3 linked regions of the Alligator mississippiensis genome follow. The protein of the gene in region 1 interacts with the protein of each later gene in a pairwise test. Links are inferred from orthologs where the notes say so. Each region holds a gene or a part of one and is shown in the gene's direction. Other genes may lie near its edges.

What was found. The genes of interacting proteins can lie anywhere in the genome.
Region 2: the proteins of TRIM63 (region 1) and TCAP interact in a two-hybrid assay, tested with the Homo sapiens proteins (3 studies listed by BioGRID and IntAct). The link is inferred for Alligator mississippiensis from reciprocal best matches to the Homo sapiens genes TRIM63 and TCAP.
Region 3: the proteins of TRIM63 (region 1) and cytochrome b-c1 complex subunit 1, mitochondrial interact in a two-hybrid assay, tested with the Homo sapiens proteins (2 studies listed by BioGRID and IntAct). The link is inferred for Alligator mississippiensis from reciprocal best matches to the Homo sapiens genes TRIM63 and UQCRC1.

The regions. Positions count from the first base shown.
Region 1 is NC_081829.1:3,275,183-3,285,548, forward strand, and holds the start of TRIM63 (E3 ubiquitin-protein ligase TRIM63), read left to right. Parts: upstream 1-6,362; 5' UTR 6,363-10,366. UniProt on the Homo sapiens protein: E3 ubiquitin ligase. Mediates the ubiquitination and subsequent proteasomal degradation of CKM, GMEB1 and HIBADH.
Region 2 is NC_081827.1:165,411,688-165,422,045, reverse strand, and holds TCAP (telethonin), read left to right. Parts: upstream 1-6,144; 5' UTR 6,145-6,215; coding exon 6,216-6,364; intron 6,365-6,959; coding exon 6,960-7,380; 3' UTR 7,381-8,378; downstream 8,379-10,358. Other genes in the region: melanoregulin, read left to right, coding at 127-289, 1,127-1,217, 1,705-1,868, 2,188-2,427. UniProt on the Homo sapiens protein: Muscle assembly regulating factor. Mediates the antiparallel assembly of titin (TTN) molecules at the sarcomeric Z-disk.
Region 3 is NC_081835.1:20,054,475-20,064,286, reverse strand, and holds the start of cytochrome b-c1 complex subunit 1, mitochondrial, read left to right. Parts: upstream 1-5,332; 5' UTR 5,333-5,368; coding exon 5,369-5,440; intron 5,441-6,013; coding exon 6,014-6,154; intron 6,155-7,844; coding exon 7,845-7,931; intron 7,932-9,812. Other genes in the region: CELSR3 (cadherin EGF LAG seven-pass G-type receptor 3), read left to right, coding at 403-426. UniProt on the Homo sapiens protein: Component of the ubiquinol-cytochrome c oxidoreductase, a multisubunit transmembrane complex that is part of the mitochondrial electron transport chain which drives oxidative phosphorylation.

The DNA.
Region 1 (10,366 bases):
AGTACGAAGAATTAAAACGGGGCGAGATATTTGACGATTTTTATTTGGACTATGCCCAAGTCTGAAAAGGAAAAGGGTGTGTGCGTGTGCACGCACACACGTTTAAAGGGAAGAGACCCAAGCATCACAACAGCAATTTGCTCAAATGTTTTCCTTGAACACGTCACACGGGTGTTGTGAACAGACCGTGTCGCCTGCGTGTGTAAATACGTGCACGTTTACAGGGGCCTGATCCAAGCGCTCGCTCCCCTGCAACGCGACAGCTTAAAACGGGGATATTTAAACAAAAAAAGAGAAAAAACTTGACGTGGCGTCGACGTGCAAGTCTGCGTGTGCGCATGTGAAGCTGACATGCAAGCGTGTGACGCAGGGGTGTGCGTGCGTGTGCAACTGATGTACACATGCACGTGGGGTGTGTAGCCAACAAGCAAGCGAGAGCATGCACGCGTGAAGCCGACACACAAGTGCGTGAAGGGCGCACGTGCGTGTGCAACCGACGTGTGCGCGCACACACGCAACTGACACACGAGCGAGGAGGAGGCGAAGCGTGTGCAGGTGTGCGCGTGCATGTCAGCCGTGCACACACACACACGCACGCACAGTCTGCGGAGGGGGGTGCACACGCGTGCGGGGGCAGCGCACACACGAAGCCTGAGGAGGGTGCGTGTGCACAGGTGACGTGTAAGTGTGTGTGTGTGGGGGGGGTGCGCGTGTGTGTGCGCGCACAGCTGACGTGTAAGGACGCGGGGCCGCGAGTGCGTGCAATGACACGCCGGGAGGGGTGCGTGTGTCAGGCAGCCCACAGCCTCGCCTCACCCCGCCCCGCAGGAAGCCGCCGGCAGCCGAGGCGACCCCCCCCCGCCCCCGGGCCAGGGCCAGGGCCAGGCCAGGCCCAGCCGCCGCCGCCGCCGCCGCCGCCCGGTTACCTCAGCGCCGCGCGCGGCCGCCATGATCGGCGCCTGCCCTTCCCCGCGCGACACACCCCCCCACGCCGCGCGCATGCGCGCCCTGAACCCCGCTGCTGATTGGCTGGAGCGGCGCGCGCCTCCTCCGCCGGCATTGTGGCGCGCGCCGCCTCTTCCCATTGGCTGAGGCGGGGCCGGGGGAGGGGCTTGCGGGGCTGTTCCTGGGCGCGCTGCGCTGTGGGCGGGCGTGCAAAGCAATGCAATGCAATGCAAGGGGGAGGGGAGGCGCGCAGCGCAATGCAAGGTGGAGGTGGTACAACGCAATGCAATGCAATGCAAGGGAAGAGGGCGCAATGCAATACAATGCAAAGGGAGTGCAATGCAGGGGAGTGCGGGGATGCACGCAGCTGGCGCGGCTTTGCTGCCGCTGCCCCTCCTCGCAAGCCCAGCCCCGGCTCTAGTGCAAACGGCCCGGATCGGTTGCAAACCCCCCTCCCCCGGCAGCCGCAGCCCCACCGTGCCGGTCATCCCGTTCGCCGGACCCTCCTCAGTGTCCTCCCCCTGCTGCGGCCCAGGCCCCGCGGGCTGGGGGCTGCAAAGATGCTGGGGTGGGTGGGGGAGGAGGACGACCCCCCCCCGGATTGCCCCCCAGCGATGGGGTTACGGTGCCCAAACTGCTGCAGGCACATGGCGGGCAGTGATTTGGGGAGATCCAGAGGATGGCAGGGTGGTACCTTCCCTCAAAGGGATGCTGCCTCCATTGTTCCAGCTGGGAAATGGGCAGAGCCCCTGTCCCCCGCCGGCTTTCAAGGTGTTGCACCGGGCGCAGATGCCAGGCGGGAGCACAAGCCTCGCGGCACTTGCTATCGTGTGGCCTGGCAGCGGCTGCACTAGACCCCAGTGCACCCCCCCCCTGGTAGCCCCTGTCCGGATGCTGGCCCGGCTGCCAGCCAGTGATCCTCGCGCCCGTGTCGCACCCCGTGTCGGGGGAGCCGTCCCTGCCTGGCAAAACGGAGGGAGCAGACATGTCCTGGTCTAGATCTAGGCTGGTTCTTGCTCTGCCTGAGCTGGGCATCACATCTCCCTAGTCTGAGATCCTGTCCCAGCCCAGGCCGGAAGGGAGGAAGAAAGCAGCTTGGCCAAGAAACAGCCCTTTCTGACGGCTGAGCCTGGGCCCTCTCTTCCTCCGGACAGGGGGCACGGCTGCAGGTCCGGTCCCCTCTCCAGGACGCAGTCTGGAAGGCCGCGTGGGTGGCGATCTGCATTCCCTGGATGGAGCTACCCCCACGCTCTTAGGAGAAAGCAGGACGGTCCGGCTGAGACAGCGAGTCTCTTGTACCGCAGGTTTATGTGCTAAACCCCGAGGAACCGCTGTCGGGCAGCGTCCGTGCTTGGTGGGGCTGAGAGAAGAGGAGAGCATGTGCTGTAGTGGGGGCATCTTCAATCCCGCGCTAAACTGTGCTCTGCACAGCTTTCTGTACGCCATCCTGCCGCAGGGGGTGAACGAAACCGGAAGAACACCAGACCAGCGAGCCCAAGGCCCGGTCTCCGACAGTGGCAGATAACAGATGCTTTAAAAGAAGAGTTTATGAACCAGGGTAGAATGATTCACCCCGTCCTACCCTCCCAGCCCCAGAAGTGTACTGGCTCTCTGGCCCTTGGGCTTCATAGCCCCTGACAGATCCATCCTCCAGCGTCAGTCTGAGCTCAGTTCTGACCTGGCTGGTGATACCGTTGGCTTCCCCCAGATCTTGCGGCAACGCTTCCCCCAGCTTCTTCATGCCTTGTGTAAGAAAGTGCTTCCCAGCGTTTGTTTTAAACCTGCTGCCTGGTTCGCTGTGGGTTGTATGCTTGATAATGGAGGCCACCGTATGGTGGCGAGTTACCTAAGAAACCATTTAAAAGTTTAAGTGGATACTATAATTAGCGTTTAACCAATTGTAATGGATTGCTCGCGAGTAGTTCAGCTATAACCCTTTCTACTGATGAGCTTAATGCCAGTCTGTAATGCATACAATCCGTAGTGCTAGCACACTTCTAACATCTAGTACACCTTTATAAACTATACGCTTATCCTTACTATCAAGACAACACACTGCAAATGCTTCAGATATTTGACCAACAGGTGTTAAGTGAAGAACGTGCATAAATCTTTACAGGACTGGAGCTATCCACTGTTCCTTGTTACCGTAGTAAATAGAAGTAGATGATAAGTGATGATCTTCCCATAAGATTGAATTATAAATGGATGATGTCTCTTTAGCCGGGTCAAATTCCTTGAGTGAAGTTGCAGTGACATCTAGCGGCTAATTGAGCCCTTAATGGGGTCCCTAAATTACCCAAAAGATCTGGCTGCTGTTGGGGGGGGGGGAACAGCTCAATCAGTTCAGTTTCATGCTTGGTCCCTGGGAGTTATGCAGTAGTTCTGGATACGGGAATTAGCCAAGGGCCTGCCACGTATCGAGGCAGTCTCAGGGGAGGCGGCTTCTACTTGCTTTGACTTCAAATAGACCCATCTTTTTTGTAAAGACATTTTTTAGTGTTCCAAGCCAAATCAGCCAAATCAATTCCAAATCCGTGAGTCAGTCAAGGACCATAAGTGGCCCTACTACCGGCAAACATCTTCCACCCCACCAGGGGCTGCAGATGTTTCCAAATCCTTTGGTGGGTATCCTACGCGTAGGCCCACGCCCGGAGGCTTGGGGTTCAGATGCCCTCGAGTTTCGCTTGCCCTCAACCGTACAGCCGCAGGAACAAGCTAGGGAGGAGTCTTCCATTTCCATAAAGTGGGCATTCAAATAGACCATGGGTGACTGGTGCCGCCTTAGTCTGGAGGGGCATGTGCCCCCCCTGCAACCAGTCTTGATGCCTGGGGGAGGGTCCCCTGCAGTCAATCGCAGCTACTTCCAGGGGTGGCCGTGGCCGCTTCTAGGAGCGGCTGCAGCAATCAGCCAGCACTTGTAGAGGGGGCACCGGCATTCCTGCCTGCCCCCCACCCATCACCTAAGTGGCAAGCGTGACCGATCAGGGGGTGCACTGGCATTCTCAGGGGGCTCGCATGCACCCCCGTGCACATCACCATTGAAATAAACCCATCTCTTTTGTCATTTGTGTAAGCGTGGTAGGAAAACTCAGGCTGGGAAGAACATAACAGACCACAGCCCAAGCAGCAAGCCCCCACCGCCCATCAGGTGACTGAGCTGAAAATCCCAAGCCTTGCTCAGGATGGGTCCATGGGACAAGCAGATGGGCTGAGCAGAAAAGCAGGCCCTGATTCTGTCCTCTTCACTTCGACAGAACGGGGATGAGAGCAGTCTTTATCCTGCAGGGCTTTGGCTTAAAATATACTTATTGCAGGGCATTAGCATCATCATTACTACACCATAATTTGCATGTATGTGCAAGCACGTGCTTGGGATCTGCCGACGCCTTCCCAGCTTTTTGGCTCCTGGGTCATTGGTTTATTTAGCTGCTGGGGTGGGCTGTGATTAAGCCACAGCTTTTCTTTTCAGGCTGGCATAGGGAGATGTGCCAGGCCCGCGAGTCCTCAGTTAAGGGCATGGGGCTGAGAATAGTCACAGCAGCTATCCTCTGGCCGGGGGTAAATAATCTGGGATTGGGGCACTAGAGGTCGTGTTGTGGTGTCTGGGCTACAGCACAGATTGGCAAGCGCTTCTGGAGGCAGGACAGAGACAGACCGTCTCTGGGGTCCTGCCAGAAATCAGGCCCAGTGGGAGCGCTCTATTCGGTGCAGAGCTTCAGTCTAGCAGGGATGATGCCTGGCACTGCCAGGCTGGCCTGAAACCTGTCACTGAGACCGTAACGAATATTTTGGTCTGTGCAAGGGACAGCACCAGCGTCTCTGGACACAGACCCTCTGTTGGCTGATGGAGCGGATCCAGGTGGGCACTGGCAGTACCAGTGCAGGGCTTCTTCGCTGTGTGCTGCACAAACCCTTCTGTCTTGATAGCAGACCTGGGAGAGGATTCATGGCCCATTCACTCCTATCCTGGGTCTGACTCCAGTGACATGGATACCTGTTACTTGGGAAATGCAATGAGCCCTGCATGGACCCATGAACCAGGACTGACAGCTGCTCTGAGCTGGGCTGCATTTGATCTTGCAACGGAGGTGAAGGCTTCCCTGGCCAATCTCTGGAGCCATGTGAAACTCTGGAAGAAAAACAGATCTTGCAGGTGATTTTCCCAGTGACTGCATCAAGTGAGAATCCATGGGGTGAGGCCTTCCACCACATCCAGCCGTCTGCCCTGCTTTACACAGATACCCACGTGGTTTAATAAGGGGAAACCTTCACCCTGGATAATTAATTTAAAGTGTCTGTTTGCTCAATCCTTTTTTCCCCCCATGGATCCAAATCAAATGCAGCCAGCCAGCATGAGTCTAGCCTCAGGCCTCTCTTCTGAACCAGTTCAGCTGCAAGAAGAGTGGCTCAATACAGGAATTACTCAGGCCTGTGTTAGGTGGAAGTTCATATTAGATGCTCACAGTGGTCTGTGCCTTGTAACCTTACAGTGTCTGGCTCCCTGAGAGGCAGGGGCTCTGGATCTGTACCTACACTGTGGGTGGGACCTGGCATCCCAAAGAAAGCTAAAAGCATGGGCTTGAAATCTAGCTGTAGACCCGAGCCTTTGGCTTTAGGTCATTATGAAAAGCACTCCAATGCACTTTGAGTTGGAGGTGGGGAGCCCAGCTTTATACCTCTGCAAGCAATTCCAGACCCACAGCAAGAAAATGAGCTTGACTGATTTATGCTGTAGCAGGGCCAGGGAGACGGAGGTGATGAGCTCCTCCCCGAATTGCTCCCCCTCCTGTTACAGGTAGGGGACAGGTGGATACAGACTGGCCCTTGAGGTCCAAGTTCTCTCTGTACGCTTCCTGCAGTAAAAAAACCAGAGCCCCAAGGTTCAGGACTTTGATCCTGTGCTTGGTCGGCTCCCTGGCTGTTCGTTTCTAGCTCCCCGCTTTTTCCCCAGGTGGGTTCAGACTGTCCTTCGCTGTGCTCAGGTTCTGAATTGGCGCTGGCAGGGCGGCAGCGCCTTACAGTGGCCAGCAGGGACGCCCTGCTACACAGTCCGTGCTGCCAGCTGTTTGAAAATTGATATGAAATGATTTGCTTTGGCACAAGCTAATAAAAGGGGAAAGCAGTGGGAGGGGAGGAGAAACACCGTGGATCTCTGCTCCCATTCTGGAAGCCTGGGCAGTCGGAGATTCATTCAACTCCCTTGGCTCCCCTGTTGAGCCAGTGCCTCTGATAAAGGCCCAGGAGCTTGATAGGAAAAGCTCCAGTGCTCCCATCCTCCGGCTAATACATGGATCCTTGGATTCTGCTTTCCAGCCTGCGGTTTCTCTCTCTTCCCCGCTGCGAGCGGGTTCGTGCAGAGGTGGAGCTGTGTGAAACTGGATCGGGGATGGGTCTGGTGTGTGGGCTGCAGGCGATGAGCGGTGCTAGCATTATTTAATGCAGATTTGCTTGGATAAAAAGCCCAGGGTGGCAGGGCTGAGTCGTCAGAGATTCGTTCTGAACCTATTCAGCCATTTAGTTCATTTTAGGTTTCCTCTCCTTGATGGAAGGTTGTTATTAATTTCAGGCTGGATTAATCAACTCCCTTCAGATCTCACCCAGATTAATTGATCGTCTGTCCAGCACTGATTAGCACATCCTATAGACTTGACTAATCTAGCCAGAGCTAATTAGTGACACAACTAGTCTCTTCCAGGCAGCCAGCCTGAAGCTGATTAGTATTGCCCAAGCCAGAGCAGCCCATCCAGCCTTCTTAATCAGTTTTATCCACAATTAGTTAACCAATTTCACACTAGACTAGTCCTTCAGACTCGCTCCATTTCCAAGGCAGCTACTGCATATTACCTTCATTTACTTGGGTCTAAACTGCCTGATCTAGAACTAATGAGTTTAGCTACCAGCAGGATTCACTGATTAGGATTCAGCTGTGTCAGATGGGTCACTTCAGGTTGCAGCAGGTAGGTGTTGTGATGAGATGCTTTTAAGGGAGGAAAGAATAGCATTCTCATGCAGAAAACACGAGATCTAGGTATTTCCCCTGCATTCATGTTATTCCTTAATATGAGTTTCCTTAACTCCTTCTCTGTTTGTTGCTTCATGGAGCTGGATCAGGAGGTTTCGTGAGTATAAGCAGCAGCTCAGAGGCCTGGCAGGAAGAGCTGACCTGGGCAGTTTCTCTGGGCTGGGCACTGGGCTTTAATGCCCTCCATATAGAGCTGCTGATGAGTCAGGAGTGACAGACAGCGGCTGATGGCTGGGAAGTGCAAATTCTCTCAGGCAAAGCCTGCAGTGTGAGGAGGGGTGGGAGCCTGCCAGCCAGTGCCTATAAGTCCTCAGAGGTAGGTCAGGCAGCGAAGCTTCTTGAAGGAGATGGGCCCTCTGCTTTGCGTGCGAAGGGAGAGCCCTGCATGCAGCCTTGCGTTGCAATGCACAGTGCCCCCCACGGCACCCTCAGCAAGCCCCTGGCTGGAAAGGGAGCAGGTGGTGGCTGAAGTGCAGTGGTGTAGGGGTGCAGGGCAGGGCTGGATGGGCACTGGGGAGGATGGACTGGTGGACAAAGGGCCTTGACCTTCATGTGCAGCAGACACAGGCTGCTTGAGTCCCCCAGCTGTGCCCTGTGCTCCTGGCAGCAGCCCACATGCTGAGGGCCCCTGAGTTGCATTTCAGTTTCCAGCACTTCAGCGTGGCCTGATCCTGCAGCAAAACCTCTCCGAGGTGGCACCTCTCCCAAGCATGGTGTCCATGCCTCTCACTGCCACTGGATTGCCAGGGCGGGCTTGGATCCTGGCTGCCTGTCGAAATAGTGGAGCAGCTGGGGGAACTGGCCTCTGCTTCAGCTCGGTGCGATGTTGGTCAGACTACTTCATGGTTTTATGCTGGGCTGTCCAAGCACTTGGAGATGCCCAGGTAGTAGGTGCTGCAGAAGGGGGAAGCACCAGCCTTAATGGCAGCCACTTCAGCATGGAAATGCATTCTGCTAACATGTTTGATGCTCGTGCTCACCATGTGGCTTCACCCTTTTCCCTGACATCCTCATGCTAGGCTGCTTTGGCAAGCTTCGCCTGGCCTACAGCTGGCTCCCCAGCTCCTCAGGGGCTGATACCAAATCCAGAAACTGCTTCATGCATGGCTGAGATTTCAGCCTTTCCCCAAAGCTTTCCCTTCCAAGCAGCTATCATCTAGGTCAGTGCTTCCCAACCTCTCTAGGCCCCAGCCCACCCTACTTGGAAAATGCTAGCTCTTGGCTTTCGCTCCATTTTTGACTACAGCAAAATACTAGAGCAATTCTGTTGCAAAGATCTCCGATCGCAATGGGGCAGGGTGATTGTGACCCTCTGGAGAGCCCTGGGGCTGTCGTGTGAACCCCGTGTAGGTGACTGCACACCCAACAGTGCTTATCATGTCGAGCCCTGGGGCACCCTCAAAAGGATCTCGGGGGTACCCGGGTTGAGAATCGCTGGTTTAGGAGCAGCCTGAAGGTGAGACCCTGACACAGGCCCCCAAAGAAGAAGGGACTGTACTGCAACACGTTTGCTGGGCTGGTGTTTTTTGAAGGGGAGGCAGAGAAGACATAAACCACAGGTCCCGACTCACACTTTGAAATGTGAGCGGTTGCCAGCCTAGAAACAGCTCTAAATAACAGCTGTGCCGTGCCTAGCTGGCCACAGAGACCTGTTACTTAACTCTCCTGCAATAAAAGACAACAAACAACAGGCCGTGTCCTGGCTCTGGGACCCACGCGGCCCCAATGCACATGATGAAGCTGGCAGGGCTCTCCGATCCCAGGAGATCACAAGGATCAGGGGATCAAGTGTGGCCTTGTTCCTGGAAGCAATGGAGCAAGGAACAGCACCAAATGCTTCTGGGCTTTTAGACTGCAGGACTTGACACGATCGGGGACTGAAGTGGAGGAAGTTCGGGGTCAGGGTGGCTTCTTCCTTTTTCCCCATCCTCCTCCCTGGCTCTGCCGCTGACCAGCTGAACCATTGCTCCGCTCCTCAGCAGAGCCGTCCATGAAGCAGGCAGTGAATAGTCCTTGCCTGGTCATGCTGCAGTGGTCCCTGGCACTTCCCCAGTCACAGAACTGCTGCGTCCTGGGGCTAGGAGCAAAACTTCTTGCCCCAGATAGCTTCGATCAGCAAGAAATAGTTCATCTGCAGGGAGTTATACTCGCTGCTGCAGGAGCCGAGTGCATTCAGGCCTGCAGTGCTGAGGGCAGCATGGATGCCTTTTGTGCCTGGAAAGCAGCTTTCCAGCAAGCCAGGAGGAGCATCTATGCAAGGGGCAGCTCAGACCTCTGCTGCAGAGGGTATGGCCTGTATGAGCAGAGATGCTGACAGCTGCTGGCGCTCACCTGGAGAGCCTTGGATGCAGGGATCTAGTCTGCCCAGGCCCTTCTGAAAGTGCCCCACCTGCCTCTCTGGGCATCCCCTCCCCTTTGGCAGCCTGGCCCCCAAGCCCTGCTCAAGTAGGGTGCAGGATCCCCTCCAGCCTGCCTTTCCTCTCTGCCCTAAACAGGCTGAGCAGCAATGGTGGGGCCTGAGCGGCTCTAGGGACAGGCAGCAGATGCTCAAGCCTCTCATTTGCAGGTCACCTCTAGCCCTCACCTGTTGCAAACTGGCTGCTCGGTGCCAGGGCACAGCTAGCTCGAAGGGTCTCGGGCACCAGGGGAGAGGTGTCTGCGTTCCCAAGAAGCACCCCCCAAGCTGGCATTAATTGGCAGCCTCCTTGTTGCCCCATCAGCAAAAAGCTGCAGCCTGAATGAGCAGCCCTGGTATCTGGAGGTGGGTTCTGCCCATCGGGGCACAGACAGCCCCCTCCTCTTCGACATGCCAATGCCACATGGACCTTCCCAGCCTGCCTAGGTCTCTTGCTCTCGGTGAGGTCTTAGGCCTGGGAGATGCTGTGTGTGGCAGCTGCTGGTCTGGAGACGTTCCCTGGCCTGATGTCTGCTCTCCAGGGCCCGTCCTCTCTGGTTCCACGCGTGCAGCCCTGGGGAGTCTCCCCACCTCTGGATGCATGAACCAGCTTTGGGTTGTAGGGGGGGCATTTATATGCAAGAGGCTGCAGGAGTTTCCCTGTATTGGGTCTCTGCAAGCACCACAACACCGGTGCTGGAGCGAGGCAGGGGTAACAGGCTACGGACACCGGCTTAGGGGGCAAACCGGTCTTGTCTAGCTTAGTCCCCTCTGCAGAACAAACCGTGTCCAGCTGGGCTGGGCTCTGACCCCGGCACAGCTCCTCTGCTGGGTCCCACAGGACCATCTTCCCACACCCCCATGCATTTGGGGCTCCCCTGGTGAGCTGCCTGGCCTGTCTGCTCTGGGAAATCCCAGTCCCAGGTGTGGTCTAGGTTTGGGGCTGGTTCCCTGTGGTTTGGTGAGTGCTCAGGCCACGTTTCACACCAGGGCACAGCAAG
Region 2 (10,358 bases), on another chromosome or scaffold:
AGCCTCAGGATTGTGTGCATTCCTGTGTGTGGAAGCTCAGTCCCAGCCCCAAGGATGGGGCAGGAGCAGGGTGGGGGGGGGGAATGGATGTAGGCCATGGCAATGATGAGGTCTCTCCTTTCGTAGGAGTGAGACGCTCCAGTACTTCAACCAGCTGGTGAAGCGCAAACGGGCTGAGGCCACCAACCTGTGGAACGAGCCCGTGGATGCCACCCACATGGAGCGGGATGACGACCGGGAGCTCTACAACCTGCTGCAGAAGCGGGCCAAGCTTCGCCGGGGGTCAGAGGTCGGTGCCCCTACCGCCATCTGTCTGGGGCTCTCCCCCAGGCTGTGGGACTTGCCTGTATCTCCTGTGGGAGATCATTCATTCTCTGCCTGTGTGCTTGGTACTGGACCTGGGCAGGATTTCGGGGTTCTATTTCTGGGGGATATGGCCTGGTGCAAGTCACTTTTGGGTTTCCCCCCTCCTCAACCTGCAGGTTATGAGCTCAGGGCGGGCGCTTGCCCTCACTCTGTGTGCAGCTTCCAGCACAGTGGGGCTCTGAGGCTCTATTTAGCCTTGTAGGTGCTGCTGGAGCACGCTAAACAATAATTTTCCCACCAAAAAGTGGCTGTGAGAGAAGAAATAAGGCCAGGGGGAAGGACTGTGGTGGGGTCCATGGGGTCTTGCCCAAACTGCTGCATCGCCAGAGCACTGGAGTGTTTTAGCCTTCTCTATGCCTCTCTTTTCCAAGTGGGAAAACTGAGGCATGGAAGCACTGTGGCTTCTCACACAGCAGAGTAAGAGCTGGGGTTAGATGCCAGGAGTCCCAGCACTCGGCTCTCCTTGCTCAATGACACTGGATGCAACCCAGCTGATTCCCAGACCCATCCCTCCTGTTCTAACTTGCTGGACACCATGCTGCTCCTAAAGACAGGATGCAACCCCCTGCTCCACACCCCCTGCTGTAACCACTGGATATGCTCTCCAAAGCATCACTGTCCTATCCACCTCCCATGGGTTTCCTAGTGTGTGGGGCCATCACCTGGCAGTTGTTGCTGGATAGAGAAGGCAGTAGGTGAGGTTTGCCATGTGGAGAGGGAGCTGTAGTCTGACACTCAGCTCTATCCCCCTCTGCTGCAGGGGTACCGGCGCCTGAGCTTTGACATCAGTGCCCACCGGCAGATCCGCCGCGAGGTGAAGGACCGGTGGAAGCACATCCTGGAGGCCTTAGGTATGGACACAAGCTTGGTCAAGGGAGCTGGGGGCAGCTGGACAGCTCTGCCCTCCCTCCTGATTCAGATGCCAGTAGTTAGGGCACCCCCTGAAGCCGTGGTGCACATAGGTTGGGCTGGGCTGTGCCTTTGCTCCCAGAAGGTAGCCCTTTGGGCTGGGGGTCATCCTCTCCTCATTCATGCCCTGTGCTAGGCCCCTGGGATGCCAGCATGACCCCTTGATGGTTGAGGGGATGGAGGGTTAGGATGAGGAGCATGGTAGAGGTGTGCATGGGCAATACTTCCAGCAGAGGGTTGTCCTTGCCCTCCCTTTCCTGGGTGCCACCTCTGTAGAGAGCTTGGTCCAGACAGAGGGCAGAACCTAGGGAGAGGTATGGTCTGCCAGTGGCATTTGAGCCCCTTCCAGCTGGTGGTAGAAGAAGGTTTTTACCTCCCTGATACGCTGCATGGTGCTAACAGGGGCCCTCTCTCCTCCAAACCGGGCAGGGTTCAGCGCCGAGGCAGATGGCCTGCTCACTGTCACCTCCACCATGTCCTACAGCTCCCTGCGTCACCCACAGCAAGCCCGTGCCCTGCTCACCACACTGGCCACAGAGACCAGCCTCTTTGACCGCCACTGCAGCCCCCCAGAGAGATACCTCTTTGTCCTGGTATGTGTGTGGGGAGGGGGCTTCTCCTCGAGGCTTGGAGGGGAGAAGCTAACCAAATGGCTGATGCTTCCACCCCCCCTGCCCTGACTCTTGGGGGAGCTGGGACCACCCTGTCTTCACTGCCGTCCCTGCTCTAAATCCCCTTGGGGGTGCAGGGGGATCCCGAGTCATCACTGTGGGCAGCCTGGCTGGGCCCATACAGCCAGCCCTGCCCGCCACCAGCTCCCGTTAGATCTTGGCCCCCCTGTTGCCTGGGCTCCACAGTGCCCTGCAGCCCCTGCTCTGACCTCTGCCACCCTCGCTGTGTTGCCCTCTCCAGGACCGGCTCATTGTCCTCGACGTCGGTGATGACTTTCTCTCTGCGGCCCGGCGCTATTACCCACTGGAGGAAGACAAGGCCCCCCACAGTGAGGAGGAGCCCCTCAGTGAGGAGGCCATCTTGGTGACGCTAAGCCCAGGGCCTGAGCTGCCCAAGGAGGTGGAGGAGGAAGAAGAGGAGGAGGAGGAGATGGCTGAGGAGGTGGATGAAGACACCCTGCTGGCCAAGCTGATGGAGTGAGGCCTGTGTGTGGGCAGCAGTGGGCATTATGGCTGAGGCTGAGAGCTGTCACCTCAGCTCCTACTGTGGCAGGGTGCCTGGCAAGGAGTGGTGAGCGCCCCTCCAGCTGCAAAGGGGCCAGATGGCAGCTCAGACCCTCTCCTGCCCTCTCCCCATGCACAGATTCCCCCCGCACAATGATCCCCCCTCCCAGCCCTGCAGATCCCAATTTTGTGGTTGTCAGTCAGCAGGTGCTGGGGGGGAGGGAGGGAAGAGCATGACCACCTTGCACTTTCCCATCCTGCTAAATTGGAGAGTGGGAGAGCTCCTTGGAAACTGGGAGGTGGTTGCCCAGGGTGCTTGTTGGTTGGAGAAGGTTAGGATCTCCCCACCCAGCCTTCCTCCAGCACAGCCAAACCCGTCAAAAAATTCAGTGCAACAGGTTCACTCCTGGCCCCTGCTAGCACTGAAATGCAGCTACTTCTGGGGTGGAATGAGCCAGCTGGCTGTCAATAGCTGTTTTGGAAGTGAAGAACATCTTAGCCAGGGTGCAGCAGTGACCGGATAAAAGCTTTGAACCTTCCTTTCTTGTTGGTGTTGATTCTTTGGGTTATCAGCAGTCAGCAGCCCCAGTCCAAGCCAAAACGGCCTGTAGTGACTTGTACTGGTGTTACTGGGAGCAGAGGTGGAGACTCTGCTCTTATATGGGAGAGGTCGTTCTGCCAGTGACCTGCAGCTTGCAGGAGGCCTTGCCCCATTCCTGAAGCATAATGATAGGTGTTACCTGCAAGGGACAGTCACACCCATGAAGTAGGATAGGTGACTGCAGCTGGACTAAGGGCTGGTACATGTATTGAACTGGACAAGGTGGAGGCAGGCACTGTTCTATTAAGCTACCTAAAGTGGTAAGGTTTGCTGGTTCCCCAGGTCTGCTGTTCACACCAGGAAAATAATCCCTGGGGGTTTTATTCCTGAGTTTTTCATCATTTCTCCAGGGGAACTCATGGCTTTTTTAGATGCCAAATCAATCACCTGTCCCTACCTCTACCTCTACCATGACAGTCCTTTCCCAGCCGCCTTCTCTTGCCCTCCACCCATCTGCCCCAACTCTGCCATTTCTTACTAAGGCAGCTCCTTGAATCTTCTGGCCCTGGTTTGTGTCCTTCCCCACCAAAGTTATGCCAAGGCTGTTCTGGGTTCAGTCCGCCTCCCAGCTCAGTCCATGCCCTTTCCGGCCGACCCAGGTGTCTGCCTACTCTCCTCTTCTGGGGCTATAGAGCTTTGCAGTACAGCCGTCCTGCCTCTGATACCCCCTTTGCTATATTTCCCACACCTGTTGTATCTTGTCAGTAAACCTCAGCTGTGAGGGTTCAAAGAGGGTATTGGAGCCATCCACTGCCCATGTGCATAAAGAGCCTGGAAAAAGCTCGCCTTCCTACCCCCCATCCCTTCACATTTCCTCTCACTGGAGCCCAACAGGGATTAGCCACAGAAAAGGCCCAGGAGCAAATGGAACCAGAGGGGCAGCCAGAGCTGGCAGCAACGCTATAGGCTGGCATCAGTTGATGTCTCCGAACCAGGGGATTTAGATGGGCTCAGTTCTAATCAGCCTGCCCCCTCTCCGTACACTCCACCCCCCACCCCACTCATCTTGGCTCCAGGGACCTGTTAGCAGTTAACAAGTCTCTAAATCAGTTTGTTTACTGTCCCCTCATCTCCCTCGATTGCTGCCAATGCAACTAGAGTTTCAAAGCAAAAGACTCCCTTACTAGGCTGTGGCTGGATTGCGCGGGGGATTGGGGGGGCATTCTACACAGCTCTGCTATAGGTCTCTGTGATGAGGGCAGTGTGTGTTGGGGGGGCATTGCCTGCTTGGTTTAGCAGCAATGGGGGGGGGGGGGGGGTCCTCTATTTTGGCAAGGGAAGGGGGGACACTATCTGGAAGGCAGCCAGTTGAGATCACAAACAGCAGCTTGCCCCCCCTGGCCTGAGAAAAGTCATTCATGCTGTGGGCAAGAGCCTCGGGAAGCAGGCTGGGCCGCAGCCCTTGGGCCACAAAGCAGCTGTGAGATCAGGAGGAGGTGGAGGGGGCAGATGAGGCCAGGCTGGGCACCAACCACTTGGCAAAGGGGTCCTTCCTGAGGGCACTGGGAATTGAGAAGAGGCAGAGTCTGCTCAGCTGGGTGCTTATCATGTTCCCCAGCCCTGTGGTCAATGTGACACTGTGCCTGACCCAGCTCAGCTACAGATGGCCCTCAGCTCCAGTCCGGTCCTGCTTAACAAGGTGCATTAGCTGGCCTGTCCTTGCCACAACCCCTCTGGCTCCTAGTTCCACCCCCACCCCCCGCATGTCAGAGCTGGGCACGGGGCTCTTCATGTAGTGGCCAGGAGCTGAATGGCCCCTGTGAGTATGAGCCCAGGTGCTGCTCCATCCAGCTGCTGAGCTGTGGGACTTTTACTTGGCTCAGCACCATGGAGCTCAGCTCTCAATGCCCTTGCTTCTTATTAACAGCAGGGACAGGCTGGGGGAATGTGGAGGATGCATGAACTGAGATCCCACCATGCCAGCACCCTGCCAGCCTGTCCCAGTTCCACCTCTCCCTCCACAGGCAGGTGCACATGGTCATGTGTGTGCTTACGGGCAGGGTTTACCTTATGGCAGTAGGTTCTGCATGGGCCCCACTCTTGACCAGAAAGCCTAGGGCTGAAATGGATGGCTGCCAGTTGCACTGCTGATGTGCTCAGCATTGTTCCCTGGGGACCTCTGAGGGAAGAGCCTGGAATTGAGGTGGCAGCTGCCTCTGCACAGGGGATGGGATGTAATTTAGCACCACTTTGTAGGGAAAGGGCCAGCCAGTGGCCTTGTTATATAATCAGGCTTTCAGGCAGGTCTTGGAATTCTTTTACCCCATGAATGGAAAATCAGCTGATGGGCTGGGCCAGTCAGTGGGTGCATTTCCATAGGGATCAGCCTGCAGTCCATGGGATCAAAGGGGATTTTGGAAGCACAAGTGCAGCAACAGCTGCCCTGCACCCTCCAGCATTCATTCACATGCACTGCTTTCACACTGTCCTCCCAACCTTGGTTGGGGTTTGGACATGGCAGCCTGATGGCTTTGACCTGTGAGGGGAGTGACAGGGGCAGACAGGGTTACGGGGATCAAGCATCTTCTCCTGACAAACATTGTTTGCACTCCCATTTTGGTGTTGAGGGAGGAGCTGGGATCTGCCCCATGGATGGCCTGTGCCAGGGCAGTGGAAAGCAGAAATCCTGGGCAGCTAGGGCAACACTGGGCCTGGGAGTGAGTGGGGTCTGGGCCTGGGGTCAAGCAGGGCTGTTAACAGAATGGCTGGTGTTCTGGGCTAACCCAGGTGTTCCTGATGGATGGCATCAAGGGGTCAGTGAGTGCCAGGCAGTGAGGACATCCCTGGTCCATGCTCCAGCCCTGCTGGAGGGAAGGGACCCATGTGGGACTGCTGTCTACCCCAACTCATGGGATAGGAGAGGTGCAGAGAAAATGTCTAGGAGCAGGAACTTGCTGGAATCTTCCCACAGACCAGTGTGACACACACACAGCCACATGCACACACACACACACATATGCAGGCATGCATCATCACACATTTCCCCCAAGCACCTGCTCGTGCCAAGGGGGCCTTGGCTTCAGTCCATGCAACATGTACATGCTGTGCCAGTGACACCTCCTGAAATAGCAGTGGGGAGGCTATATATGCCCAGCCTGGGCAGCCAAATCCCACAGGCTGAGGCACACACACACCTGCCAGAGGAGCCGGCTCTGGACACAGCCATGTTTGGCAAGAGCGTGGTGCTGCGTAGTGCAGGGCTGCTGTCGGCAGCTGAGCTGGGCTGCCTGGTGCAGGAGGAGGACATGGGACGGAAGGAGTCCTTCCAGGCCGAGTGGAAGGACCTGTCGCTCTCCACCAGGCCCGAAGAGGGGTGAGTGATGATGATGAAGCAGGCTCCCCAGGTTTGGGGGGTGGGCACCAGCATTGCTGCAGCCCCTTCTTGGCCAAAGGCATCTTGCCAACAGGGCTGAAGGGAAGCCTGGGACCCTTTGTGGAAATGGGGCCAAGGGTCCTGGAGCAATGTGTGGCCCTGCCTCAGCCCCTCCAAGGTGCCCAGATAGTCACAGGCAGAGGGTCATGGCCCCTGGGCAGAGCAGTGCCCAGTGCTCAGCATCTCCCCCAGCCCATCCCCCTGTGTCTGCCTCTTTCCCCTTGTTCCTTGGCAGGCCTTTGGCCTCTCCCCACTCCAGGAGGTGCACCACCTCCCAAGTGGGAGGGGGAATGGGGAGGGTCATATCCAGTTTGGCCCCATCTCCCTGCCCCAGCACAGCTCTGCCACCTGCTCAGCTGGGGGCAGAAAGGATCTAAGTGTCTGCTCCTTCCCTGGCACTGACAGTCACCACTTTGGGTCCTGGGACTTGTCTGGGCTCCCTGGCTTGGGGAAGTGTGTGTGTGTGGGGGGGGGGGGGGGGGCATGCCCCGCTGGGCTGTGCCCACAGCTCCCTAATGCTGCCCCCTCCCCTCAGCTGCTCCCGGCAGGAGGTGGATGACCAGCACAAGGAGACATTCTGGCAGCAGCAGGAGACGCGCATCGTGGTGCAGCGGTCACCTTGGCAGGTGCTACGGCTGGGCCGCCTGGGTGAACCCCTGGCCCAGTACCACCTGCCATCCCAGCAGGTCCTGCCCCTGCCCATCTTCATGCCAACAGACCTGAGTGCCAAGGCCGAGCGGATGGCCACCCCTCCCCAGCTGCATGATATGCTGGACTTCGAGGCGGCGCTGGCCAGGGGTACCCAGGCCAATGGGCTTTGCCCAGACAAGACGGCCGTGGCCGAGATCACCAAGGAGCTGCCTCCTGTCATCCCACCCAGCCGGCCCAGCTTTGGCAAGGGTGGCCTGCCCCGCTCCCTGTCCCGCTCCCTGTCCCAGGAGGCCCAAAGGGGCTGAGGATCTGGTACATAGACTTTCCTTTAGGGCTCTGTTTTCCCAGTTTATGGCTCCCTCTGCATGAGAAATTCCCACACGCCCTAGTGTGCTGGGACACATGGTTATTAGACAGGCCCGTTGTGGGGCAAATCCATCCCTAGTGTGAGCTCAGTGAGGCTATGCCATGGCTGCATTAGGCTTGTTGAGTTAGACTGTATGCTCTTTGGGGCAGGGACCATGCCAAGTTTGTCTGACACCTTGCATGCCAATGATTGCTCATATAATCAGGCTGTCTCTTTAAAGACTGTCTTCCTGGAGGGGTTGTCAATCAGCTGTCACAATGGCTGATAGATTTAGCTTCATGGAGCAGGGGACCTTTCCAAGAGACATTACTGCTCTTGGGCCCCCAGCTAGGTGAGGGCTAGTGTTTGGAGCAGTTGATTGCAAGCCTGGACAGTGAGAGGAGTGTGTGTTGGTATCTGGAGCCGGGGGAAGCTGGGAATTGGGACCCTTGGGTTCTAGTCTCAGCCTGGTGAAGGCAATACAGGCTAATGGCTAGAGCAGGTGCCTGAGTCAGAAGAGAGTGAGTGGCTGTTGGGAAGGGTGTGCTGTCCAGTAGTTGGAGAGGCTGATAGGACTCCTTTTCCCTGCTGTGCTCCTGACCTGCTGTGTCACTAGGATCACCTTCCCCTTCCTAAACTGGAGCCTTTCTTTTGGATGGAGTGAATTCCCCTGGGCAGAACAGAGGCTGCTTTTACTGCCGTAGGGTGGGGTAGCTAAGGGTACTGGAGGAGGTCAAAGGGTTCAGAGGTAGGGGTGAGCTGGGATACAGGGCTCACTGCAGCACTAAGGAGAGAGGCTCCAGAGGGCAGAAAGTGAGTGAGCTTGGTGCTCCTTCCAGCAGCTTTTGATTCTGGGGAGGAACCTGCTGCACATGTCTCTGTTGTTCATTGTTTTCCCCTGTTTCCATCCAGGATCACATTCTATGAGTCTCATTGAATAATAAAATAAGAAAAGGCTGAGTGAGTCCTTCTGTTTCACTGTGGGACCTGCTCTGGGTTGGGGACACACCCCAGAAGGATCAAAACCCAGGCAGGCCAGGCAAACACTTCCAGCAACTGGCCCCTTTGCCACTGGGACTTCATGCACAGAGGCAGGACATGGGTGTCTTAGGAGTGGGGAACCCAGAACTTCCCCTGGGGAACCTGACCCCCTCCCCCTTAGCTGAACAGCAGCAAATGTTGAGACTCTGCCACCTCCTTCCTGCCACTGGGGGGAGGAATCAGCAAGGTGGACTCTGAGTAGTTCCTTGGTGTGTCTTGCTTGTGTTTACTATATGGACCATCCTAGTCTCAGCATACAAGCCAGCCACTGGGCCAGCAGTCTTAGCCTACACACACACCTGGCTTCCAGGGAGAAACTCAACCCCTAGAACTGACTTCACTCAGAGATGAAGGAAGAAAGCAAACTCCCACTGCTGGCTACAGCACCCCACTGGGGGATGTGCATCACAGACTGACAACCCAGCAGTTCTGCAGCCTGGAAAAGATCTTGTAAGCCATAAATCTTGTACAGCACAATCTGGTGGCTCCTGCTGGCATAACAGACCCTTTGGATTGATGTTGGGTCCTTTGCCAACAGCCCTGTGGTTTCCTGCATAGCACAGGCATGAGCAAAGCCCATGTCCTCGCACAGGGCTGAGACAGTAGGACCTGGTCACAGGTGTCTTCCAGCTGAGTAGAAAGAGCAGCTGCAGCAACAGCTGCCAGAAGCTACTCTTTTATCCTCTTTGATGCCTGCTCTTTGGTGCTCCAGCTTAGAGCTGTATGTCCAGCGCTATTCGGCAGGGTTGGGATGCAGGACTCCTAGGTCCAACTGTCAGAGCCCCTCCTGCCCTCACAATGAGCAGTATCAGGTTGTATTGAGGACCCACAAAGATCCGGCCTGGAGGCCTGTTCTCCATGCAGATGCCCTGAAGAGAAGCCCCCTTCTCTTTGGCTCTGCACTAGGGCTGTCCTGCTTCCCCTGGGCTGGGAAGGAGGAGGTAGGTATGGGACATGCTGCCTCCCGGACCTTTCCAGCACTTGGAGACCCCAGGGCAGCTCCCCTGGCAGACTTTATTTGCTACCTTTGTGGGGGCAGCATAAGGGAACTCAGGTGTCCTGTTCCACCCTTTTCACTACCTCTCCCCAACCCGGAAGAGCTCCAAATGACCCACCCAGGCCTGGACTTAGTACCAAGTAGAGCTTTGTCATGGAGCGGGGCAGGGGGGGTGTTAAGGGAGAGGGTGTGGTGGGGGCAGGGAGGAGGATGAAACCCACAATGTGTGTGGGGGAAGGTACAACCAGGTGTGTTTGGGGGGGGTGAGAATGGGGTGATGCCCAGTGTGTGCAGGGCTGGGGGGAGGGAGGGGAACTGGCCTAGCCTTCCTGACCTCAGCTCAGGGGTGAAGGGGGGGGATTGACCCCCTTCTTCCCCTTATGCTTCCCAGCCATAGGCAGCACAGCCTTTCTGGGGAGCCCCCACGCACTGGTCTCTCCATCCCTGCTGTGTCCCAAGGGCGCTGGGAGGGCAAGCAGGGCAGGGCTGGCTGCCAGGGAGCTGGGAACAGATGGCCAGGGAGGGGGCACATAGCCAGGGAACAGTGTGCTCAGGCCAGGACAGTACAGCTAATCTGGGGTTTGAGGCCTGTGCCTGGTCTCCCTGTACCTCCCTCCTCCACCCTTCCCTCCACAGGGCTGGGCACTCGGACAAGATACAGGATTTGCCATTATTCAGGTGGCGATGCAGTTACATAAGCCAGACAGCTGGCTTTGCTGGTGCCCGTCCAGCCTCATTATTGGGTCCAGGCTCTTCCTGGCCCTCACTGCTGTCCTCAATGCATGTCTTCTCAGCCAGTGGCAACACCCACCCCCACCCTGGCAGGTATGCCAACCCAAGAACCCCCATAACCCACCCCGCACAGGGCTGGGAGGGTGAGGGGAGGCAGAACCATTGCC
Region 3 (9,812 bases), on another chromosome or scaffold:
AGCTTTAGTTTCCAGGTTTGGTCACATGGGCTGCCACCTTTCTGCCAGGCTTGTGTGTCTCTTCCAACTACACCAGCTAGATCAGCAGCCTTTTCCCATCAGCTATGGTAGCATGCCTGCTCCTACCCAGCCAATATGTTCTCATTACCTATGTCCCCAGCCCTGCCCACAGTTCACCAGTCCTTTTTTCAGTTCTGCTGGTCCTTACTAACTCCATCCCATCCAGAGGGCCCAGCGCACATACTGCCATGCTGAGAAAACATTCCAGTGCCTTGAGATCCTGCATGGACAAGAGTGAGGGCCTTGCAGGGGGGAAAGCAGGACTTGTAGTGGTGAGGAAGCCAGGAGGTTGGGGAAGCAAAACAAAACCAAAGAAAATCCTCTTGTTGTTTGACTCTTTAGACTTTTCCCAGCACTCATCTGTAGCCATCATGGCATCCACCCTCCCCAGAAGCACAACAGGTGAGAGGGAGCCATCAAGGTATGTTTCCAGAAGATTATTTGAGCTGGTTGATGTTTGCAAGGGCAGGTGACAGGGAAGTCCTGCCATCAAAGACCAAAGATTGCCTGTTGCTGAGCATCTGCTTCAGACCTTGGAAATCTGGGATCATCTACCCTTGGGAAACCACTTCAGTCACCAGAGCAACTGGGAAACTACCTCAAAACCCTCCTTCAGCTGGGCATCTGCTTGATGCTGGAGAGACCTGGGATCTCCTGGGCTCACGGCACAAGATCTCCTACAACTGGGAATCCCCTCAGACATGGGGAGCTTGTCTGGCACCATGTGTGTCACTTTTTTGGGGTGCAGCATGAGGGGAAGGGAAGCTGCATCTCTGACGTGACTGTTGTTTGAATACATGGTGCTTTAGAACAGCTCCACTGACTGTCTGGGAAACTCTCGACAGAGAGCAATACTGAAACGCCATGAAGTCTGGGTCCTGCCTAGCCACATCCATCTCCCCCATTCCCTTCTCACTTGCCTCTCTTATATTGTGGTTATCATGACCACAGCCAGAAACTTGACTTATTCACACAACATGGCAATGTACAGAGTTTTACTGAAGAGCAAGAAAACATTCAGATAAGGGGTCATGCTTAGGGTTATTTATTATCAACTCACTGTGGTGACTGAGACAATCATGAAATCATATATGCTAGGGAAGGAAAAATGTAATAGTTCAGCCATAAGCAATTGGTAGGGGGGGGCATGTGCCCCCCCCTGAGATTGGCCACTGCCGGCTTCTGCAGGCAGTCGCCACTCGCCTCTCCCCCCACCGCGACTGGCTTCTGCGAGTGGTTGCTGCTTGCCATGCTGCCACCACCAGCTTCTGCGGGTGTTCGCCGCTTGCCACACTGCCAGCTTCTGCGGGTGGTCGCCGCTCGCCACCTCGCCACTGCCGACACTGTCGCTGGCTGCCGCAGGTGGTCACTGTACACCACCTCCCTCCACCGCTGCCACCGCCTTCTGCAGGCAGTTGCCACTTGCCACCCCACCGCCAGCACTGCCACCCACAAACTCTGCCCACCCCCCAGTCTTAGGAGGCACCAGTCACCCATGAGCTCAGCTACACTCTGCAGCAACATTTCCTACTGAGTAGTTTCAAGGGTATACAGCTGGTAAATATAGGACTAGAAATATGTTTTTAACACTTGAATAGCCTGTTTGATCTGCCGCAACGTTTGCAGACACAGAATTAGTTGTAATTTTTCTGGTATCTATGCTTTATTAATGTTGCGTACCAAGGACTTAACTTAATAACATGATCCTGATTTGTTTCTCAATAAATGTGTTTTTACTCGAAGCATCTCTTTGCTGTTTCCTAACAACTGGCATATTTCCGACCTAAGACTCTGTGCCCATTTATGAGAATTTCATTTGACCCAATTGTTAGAGCCACTCGCTCCCTTTTCATGATGTGATTCATACTAAGCCCAGTCTTACTCTGCCAGTCCCCTCTCAATACTTTGTGAAGCTGCTTTGCTAAGCGAAGTGAGGGGCACTCCTGCTCTGGGCAACCATGCCAAAAGGCAGAATGCAACAGGGCATGAGCAATCAGATAAAATATGGAATAGGTGTGTGGAACTTGAGCTGAACCAAAGGGCTGGCAAAGAGCATCATGCCAAAGCCTCTCTGCCTGGCTCCAGTGTTGACTGTGCACCTTACCTCATTCAAAGGCAGCTCTTTGCACGCCTGGCCAATTCAATTGTCTGTCCAACAGTCTGCAGTGTAATGCAGACAAGGGTAGGTGCAGCAGCAACCTTTCTCCCCACCCCCTTCTTGATTCCTGCTCCAGCCAAACTTTAAAATCAATTGCCTGGGAGAGGCAGCAGTATTTCTGTTCAGGCAGTGCTGTGGGGGTCCATTGACTTCATGGCTCATTATAATGTAACAGATTTCTCCTAATCTCTCATCATTCCACAAGTGTTTTATGACCTTCTCTCCTTTTTAATGGTGTTGATGTTTCGTTAATTGAGTTACACTTTCTGCTGGTAACCATTCCTACTAATTTCTCATTTATTTCACAACCTGCACACTGTTTTAGTTCTACCTCTAAACCTTATTGGAGATGCTGTCTGTGAAGAAATCCCCCTGTATCTGCCACTTGGGACAAATCAAGTGACCCCTGTATCTCCTGGGTTTCTTCTTGGTACTGGCTGGTCAATCAGGTGACCTGGCCAGATAAAATTCTGAGAGCACCCAAAGAAATCCTTGCCTCTTGCATAATTTCCAGACTATCACAGCTACACCATCACTACACAATCTAGCAAATCAGTGCACATTCCAATAGTTATTTTGCTGTTTGCTTTGATCTTAAGCCAAATAATATAGAGCTGCCCCCGCCCCCCCCCCCCCAGTATAATAGTAAAGCTTCTGGTTTCTCTTTAACTAGAGAAAAAATGTGTGTTGTGCCATATGTGATGATGTGATGTGATACCATATGTCAGAGGTTCCCAAGCAGCGGGCCATGGCCCGGTGCCGGGCTGCAAAGGGTTGGCGGTCGTGGCACTAGCCCCGCTCCTATAAGCCCCCACAGTGAGGGAGGGAGTGGGGCTGCTGGGGCCAGGACAGGCGTTGAACAGCAGGGCGGACTGCAAGATGGAGCCATGGCTCATTCTGCGGGGGGGGTGCGGGTGGCTCCCACCATTGCATGCACCCTGGGAGGGCATGGTGGGGGACACATGCCCCCAGATCTGTTCACGAGGCAGGGCGGGGTGGGGCATGCTGGGGACGGCACTGGGCTCTTCCCAGTGGTGGCTGGGTGGGGCTGTGCCCAGGGCAGGTGGTGACAGTGCTGGGAGTGGGGCTACAGGAGGGGCTGCAACCATTCCAAAATTCACTGTAGCCCCCCAACTCCGCCTCCCAGCTCAGCCTGGCCCAACACCCTCGCCAGGAACAGCCCAGCACTGCTCTGGCCCCAGCCTGCTCTGCCCTGCGCACAGATCCGGGGGCATATGCCCCCAATGCCCTCCCAGGGTGCACGCAATGGTAGGAGCTGCCCCCATGGCCCCCGGGCAAGCTGCGGCTCTGTCCAGCGCTCCACCTGGCTATGCAGTACTTGCCCCAGCCTCAGCAGCCCCACTCCCTCACCACAGGGGCCTACAGGAGCAGGGCTACAAGGGAGGGCTGCAGCCACTCCAGAATTTGCCGTAGTCCCCCCAAAGCAACCTCTCAGTGCCGCTGCTGCCTGCCCTGAGCCCAGCCCAGCCCAGCCCACAGCCACAGCCCATCCTGCCCTGCATGCAGATCAGGACACATGCCCCCCCAAGCCCTCCCAGGGCCCGCGCAGTGCCAGGAGCCGCCCCCCATCCCTGCGCTGCTCAGTCCTGTGCCCCACCCCAACTGGGCAGCCCCTGCCCCAGCCCCACTCACGGCGAAATGTTGGCAAGTCGAAGACTGTCTCCTGAACTACATGAGGTGGTGAGTGATGTGATTCACACTGTCAATCACATCAAAGCACATGCACGGAATTCACGTTTGTCCGCATCGCTATGCAAGGATATGGGCGCTGAACACAAGCAGCTTCTCCTGCATACAGAATATCATTGGCTATCGAGAGGGAAGGCCCTGACCAGAGTCTTTGAATCAAGAAAGCAGTTGCAGAGATTTGTCTCAGACAAAAAATCACCATTAGCTGTGCATTTCAATAACAAGAACTGGCTTGTTAAGCTCACTTATTTGAGCAACATATTCACGGTACTGAATAAACTCACTCTCTCGATGCAAGGGAGAATGGCATCTGTTTTTAAAATGGCAGATAAAATCACAGCCTTCAAAACCAAGCCGAAAACCTGGGGGAAACATGTGGATAGGGGAGTCTTTGACATGTTCCAGAATTTTGTGGATTTTTCAGAAGAAGCTGTGGGACTTTTTGTACCAATGGCGCTGCTATGATGACTGGAAAGCTTTCTGGCTTCATGACCAGGGTAAAAGAAGTGGCACCTGAATGTAAGTCTACCCACTGTGCAATTCACCGCGAAAAGTTGGCAAGTCAAAGATTGATTCTTGAAGTATGTGTTGAGTGATGTGATTCATATTGTCAATCATATCAAAGCACGTGCACTGAATTCACGTTTGTCTGCGTCGCTATGCGAGGATACGGGCGCCGAACAATCCGAGAATCGGGAAACAGTGGATCCGTGATCCATTTCTGAATGCCCGCAAGGAGTTGTCCTTGCCACCACTTTGAGTTAACATGTGACAAAGGACTTAAAACATTGTTCAAGGCAACCTCATCTCTGTCGTCCTGGATTAAAATTAAGGACTAATATCCAGAACTCAGCACCCTAGCTCTGAAGACCTTGCTGCCTTTTCCATCTACCTATCTTTGTGAAGTGGATTTCTCTGCAATGACGGAGGAGGCTGGACGTGAGAAACACATTGCAAGTCTCGTTGTCAACCATCACACCTCAGTATTACCTGTTTGCATCCGGCAAGCAAGCCCAGGGATCCCACTGATCCTTTATTGATGATGATCTTGATTGTTAAATAAAACAGAGGTCACTCTGTTTTGCACCGTGCCTTTGCCTACTGAGTTCGCTTTGTGCCATACATAGCCTCATACACGCTACCTTAAGTTACCTTCCTGCTGCTGCAGGCTCCCGGCCCTGCAGCTCCCCCTGCTCCATCACCTCCTGCAGCCCTGCTTGCCGCACCTCCCACCAGCAGGGAGCGCGCACGCGCCCACCCATCCCACTCCTAGGCTACCTCCTAGCCGCCCCTCCAGCACCTCCTCTGCGCATGCGTACCCCTTTGCCTCGCTCTTTGCGCATGCGCCACCCGTCTTTTGGCGCATGTGTGCTTCCCTGCCCATGACCTCTTCCGGCGCATGCGTTGTTTCCTCCAGCTAGTTCGCCGCTGTAGGGCAAGATGGCGGCCTCCTCTGTGTGTCGGGCCGGCTGCGCCGCGGGCCGAGTCCTCCTACGGGGGCCCCGCTCCTCGGTGAGCGCCGCCCGCTCGGGACGGGGCGGGGACCTGGGGCGGAGGGAGCGGATCCTGGCAGCGGGGAGCGGGTCCGAGGGGGGACGCCCGGGCCCTCGCGCCGGGGAAGGTCATGGGGTCGCTGCCCGCGGCGGTCGCCATGGAAACGTCGTGGGGGGGCAGAGTGGGATGAACGTTCGGAGAGGGCTCGGTGACGTCAAAAGGGGGGGCACCGCGCCCGCCTGCGTTAACCCTTGCGGGGCCGGCAGGCTGCAGGCGCAGAGGGGTTACAGCAGCACCCCGGGGCGGGGGCTGGGGAGTGAGGGGCAGAGCTGCACCTTCCCCACGCAGTGCCAACCCGTCGTGCCCTGCTGTCTGCCTGCCTGTGGAGTGGGGTAGGCAGCCTGGAGAAGAGTGATTGCGCCCAAAAGCTAGCAAAAAACTTTCCAAATACTCAGTTGGTCTAGTAAAAGATATCACATCTGCCCAGAGAAGTGGCCTGCCTGGGCACCTGTGGGCATTTCTTGCTTAAAGAAGCAAGATAGTCTATATTATGCTGTGAGAGTCACAGTTTGATCATGTTTTTCTCTTTAGCCAGCCCTGTTGAATTTAACAAGGAATCGCAGTGCAGTTTCCTATGCCCAGGTACTCCACAGTCTTCCAGAGACTCAGGTCACCACTCTTGACAATGGCCTCCGTGTGGCATCTGAGGAGTCTGGCCAACCTACATGCACGGTAATTTTTAAGGTGGAATCGGGGTTTATTTTAGGATGACTCAGTTCTGTACCAAGTTTCTCGACTTTCAAAGGAGCACAGCCTTTATTTGAACCAAGATTGGCAGCAGAGATCTAGCAGGAGGTAAACTATAAATTTAGTCTGTAAGGTTCAAGTCTACTTTGCCTGACTTCAGACTAACTTCCTCTTTCAGCAGAGATGTAGTCTGTCTTTTGTTGTTAGCTGTTAGGGTCACAACCTGGTCAGTGGAATCAGTAGCAAAAGGTATTGATTGCTTTGCTTTGGAATGAGTCTAAAATGCTTCCAGTGATACTTTTGTGCTCTGTTCAGATTGCTCATCCATACTGCTTTTTGAATGAAGACAGTTTTCGTATGAGCAGGACAGCTGTTCATTGTTGAATACAACTTGGACAAATTGAGAGAGAAGATTAGCAAACATTGCTAGATGCATGGCATAAATAAAGTAATCTTTTAAACCTATGATGCAAAATAATTGTCCCCATGTGTGACACCAGATGTATCTGGTCTTGTTTTTAGTTCTGGAAAATTAAGAAGCTAAAACTGAGGCTGATTAGGAGAGCAAAGTGTGTCATTGCCTGCAAATATGGTACTCAGAGATGTGAGGCAGAAAATTTTCCAGTTCTTTATTTTTCCATGGGAAACCTTCCATTTCTAAAAATTCACTGTTTCAATGACTGGATGCCAATACAGTGTTAGCAAGTCTGAGTTTCAAAGCTGTAATTATTGTTTTTCGGGTGATTATCCCTAGGAAGTGTGTGAGAGAGTACATATATGTTTTATTGATTTGTAAACAGGAGGGTAAATACACTCATATAATAATCCAAACCAAAAAGTCAAGGGATAAATTCACCTAATTCACTGTGCAGGTCAAATCAAAACCAAATGAACACACTGCTAAGCTTATTTCTGTTTCTCAAAATCTCTTGCTTCTTTCCAATTCTACAGAAGCACAATTTGTGAAAAAGATGTAGTGTGATGATAAGTTACCCTTGCCCATAGACTCATTAGTAAAACTATCCTTTAGCGAAAGAGAATATGGTTCAGGTAGTTCTGAATCAGATTTGCCTCAATCTGATTCTGAAATGGAACTAATAAGTAATGCAAGTGATTCTACAGCTAGTGACAGTGAAACTGGAGGTGCTGCAAGGACCTCGGTGGAAGAGGGTTAAACTCTGAAGTAGATGAGTGGAAACCTCTGCATATCATAGCTTTGAATTTGTTTGAATGTAACATTTAAACCACATTAAGTGTGTTGCATTTAATTTTTTTCCTAATCAAATATTTCAGTTCAAATACTTGTGGCTATTGAGACAGAAAATTAATATGGAGGTGTTTTTTTAGTTTTGTTTACTAAATGTAAGTCAAATAAATGTGCTAAATCAGATCATTCTCTATTTAGAGCATTGGAAAATTTTCCAATTCAAATTTTTTCAGAAAACCCACATCTGATGGTACTTGCTCAGCATTGTTTCTCATGAGACACTGAAGGCTGGGGCCACAGATAGAGACCTTTATATGCTTATGTTATGCTCTTGCCAGTGGGTGTGCATATGTGACACCCTCTTCCCTCCCCCCCCCCCCCCCCCAAAAAAAAAATTGTAGGAAGCTTATTAATTTTTGCTTGCATTATTTCCTTTAGCATATTTACTTGGGGCATCTCTCTTCTCAGGTGGGCTTGTGGATCCAGGTAGGGAGCCGCTATGAAAATGAAAAGAACAATGGAGCAGGCTACTTTGTGGAACATCTGGCATTCAAGGTAAGATTGTAACTGGAGCTGGGAACTGCCATGGGACTTGGCCCAAGACAGTTACTTATATATCACACTGGGTTTTTTGGAGCCCCACTCTTGATTTCTTTTTCTCTTTATTCACTTTGTTGTCTCATGTTTTGGTGGGTCAAGACTGTGATAAGGAACTGGATTTTTCTATCTACAACAGGGGTTGTCAACTGGGGATATGCATACCCCTAGGGTACGTGGAAAGGTCCTAGGGGGTACATGCGACCAGGCAGGGACAGCGCTCCACCACCCGTCACCCCATGCTGCTGCCTCCCAGGAGCAGGGCTGGGGGAGGGGCGAGGGCAGTGGTGCCCCTCTGTGGGCTGCACAGGTGCCTGCTGGGGTGGGGGGGCTCGTATGTGGTGGCTACCGCTGCCATCCACTACCCTGCACTACTGCTGCACACTGCTTTCCCACAGCCGGTTGCACACACGGCTCCGCAGGCTGCTGACAGGCAGCACACAATTAGCTGGGTGCGAGGCCCGTCAGCAGGCCACAGAGCCACAAGTGCAACCAGCCATGGGAAAGCAGGGCAGTGGGTAGTGGCGGCAGCACAGTGACGTAGATGGCAACGGCTGTTGCTGTGTGCAAGCCCCCCTGATCCGTGTCTGGCCGCTGCCACCAGAAGGCTGAAAACCCCTGATCTACTGTTTCTGAGCACCAGAATATGCGCACACATCTTTGTTCTCTATCTTATACAACCTTTGGTTGTGTGAAAAGGAAAGGGCTCTATAGAGAACTTAGTATGGTGGCATCCCAATCTTGATTCAGGTCTCTGGCTCAGTTATAATGTATATGAAAACAAACTACTCTAGATACTTGGAAGGAAATAAAAATTGAGGCGATCCCATGTTAGTGCATGTTTGCAGATAAAGTGTTTTGAAGTCTTTGTACAGACTTGATTCTTTGCAGGGGCAGAATTTAGAGCAATGGCTTTTGTCATTGCTTGTGGGATTCATGTGCATAACTTGCCAGAGTGTTTCACATGTTGGTTGTGGGGTTGTACAGTTAGCTTTGAGATTAGAGCTCCTAGTCATTGCCATGACAGTTAGGGACTCCAGTAAATGTAAGATAAGGGTGCAGCATCCTGACAGTTGCACAGGAGAACTGTTGTGGGAATTCCAGAATATTTTGAATGACACTGATTTAGCCCACTTCAACAAAAATCGCTTCATCTTTTAAGAGAGCTTATTTGCTTAACTGAGATACCAGCCCCTTTATCTTTTTATGGACATAAAGATGGCTGAAAAGATTCTGTGGTTTGCTCTGATATGTAATTCAGGTCAAAGGAAACACTGCTTAGCATTTGAGAACTTGAGGGGCTGGAGACTTCCTTCTGATCTCAACATTTATTTACACTAGAGAAACCTGCATAAAAATGTGTATTCATGCTTATCCAATATGAAAAGAACAAGGCTGTTAAAAGAATGGCTGTGTATGGCTGTGAGTTTCTAGCCTTTCTAAAGAGGCAGCCATCTGCTGAACAACACTTGCTGTAATGCAGATGCATCTGCTGAGTCGTAGGAGCACAGGACTGGAAAGGACCTCCTGGATTATCTAGTTCTGTCTCCTACCATTGCAGGTAACTCCACTGTGTAATCCCTTTCATAACCTGTCAAACTCCATCTTAATCTAGATGGTCTTTTGCCTCTGTGACCTCTGTCAGAAGACTCTTCCAGAGCATCCTTGCTGTGGCTAGAAACCTTCTAATTTCCAGCATAAATTTATGGCCAGTTCATACCCATGCTGCCTTGTCAACGTTGTCTTCCAGTGTTAATATCTCTTTCCCGACTAATAGTAGTTATCCTCCAGCTTTTGTTTTGCAAGACCAAACAAGCCCGTTCTAAGGTCTCCATTCCC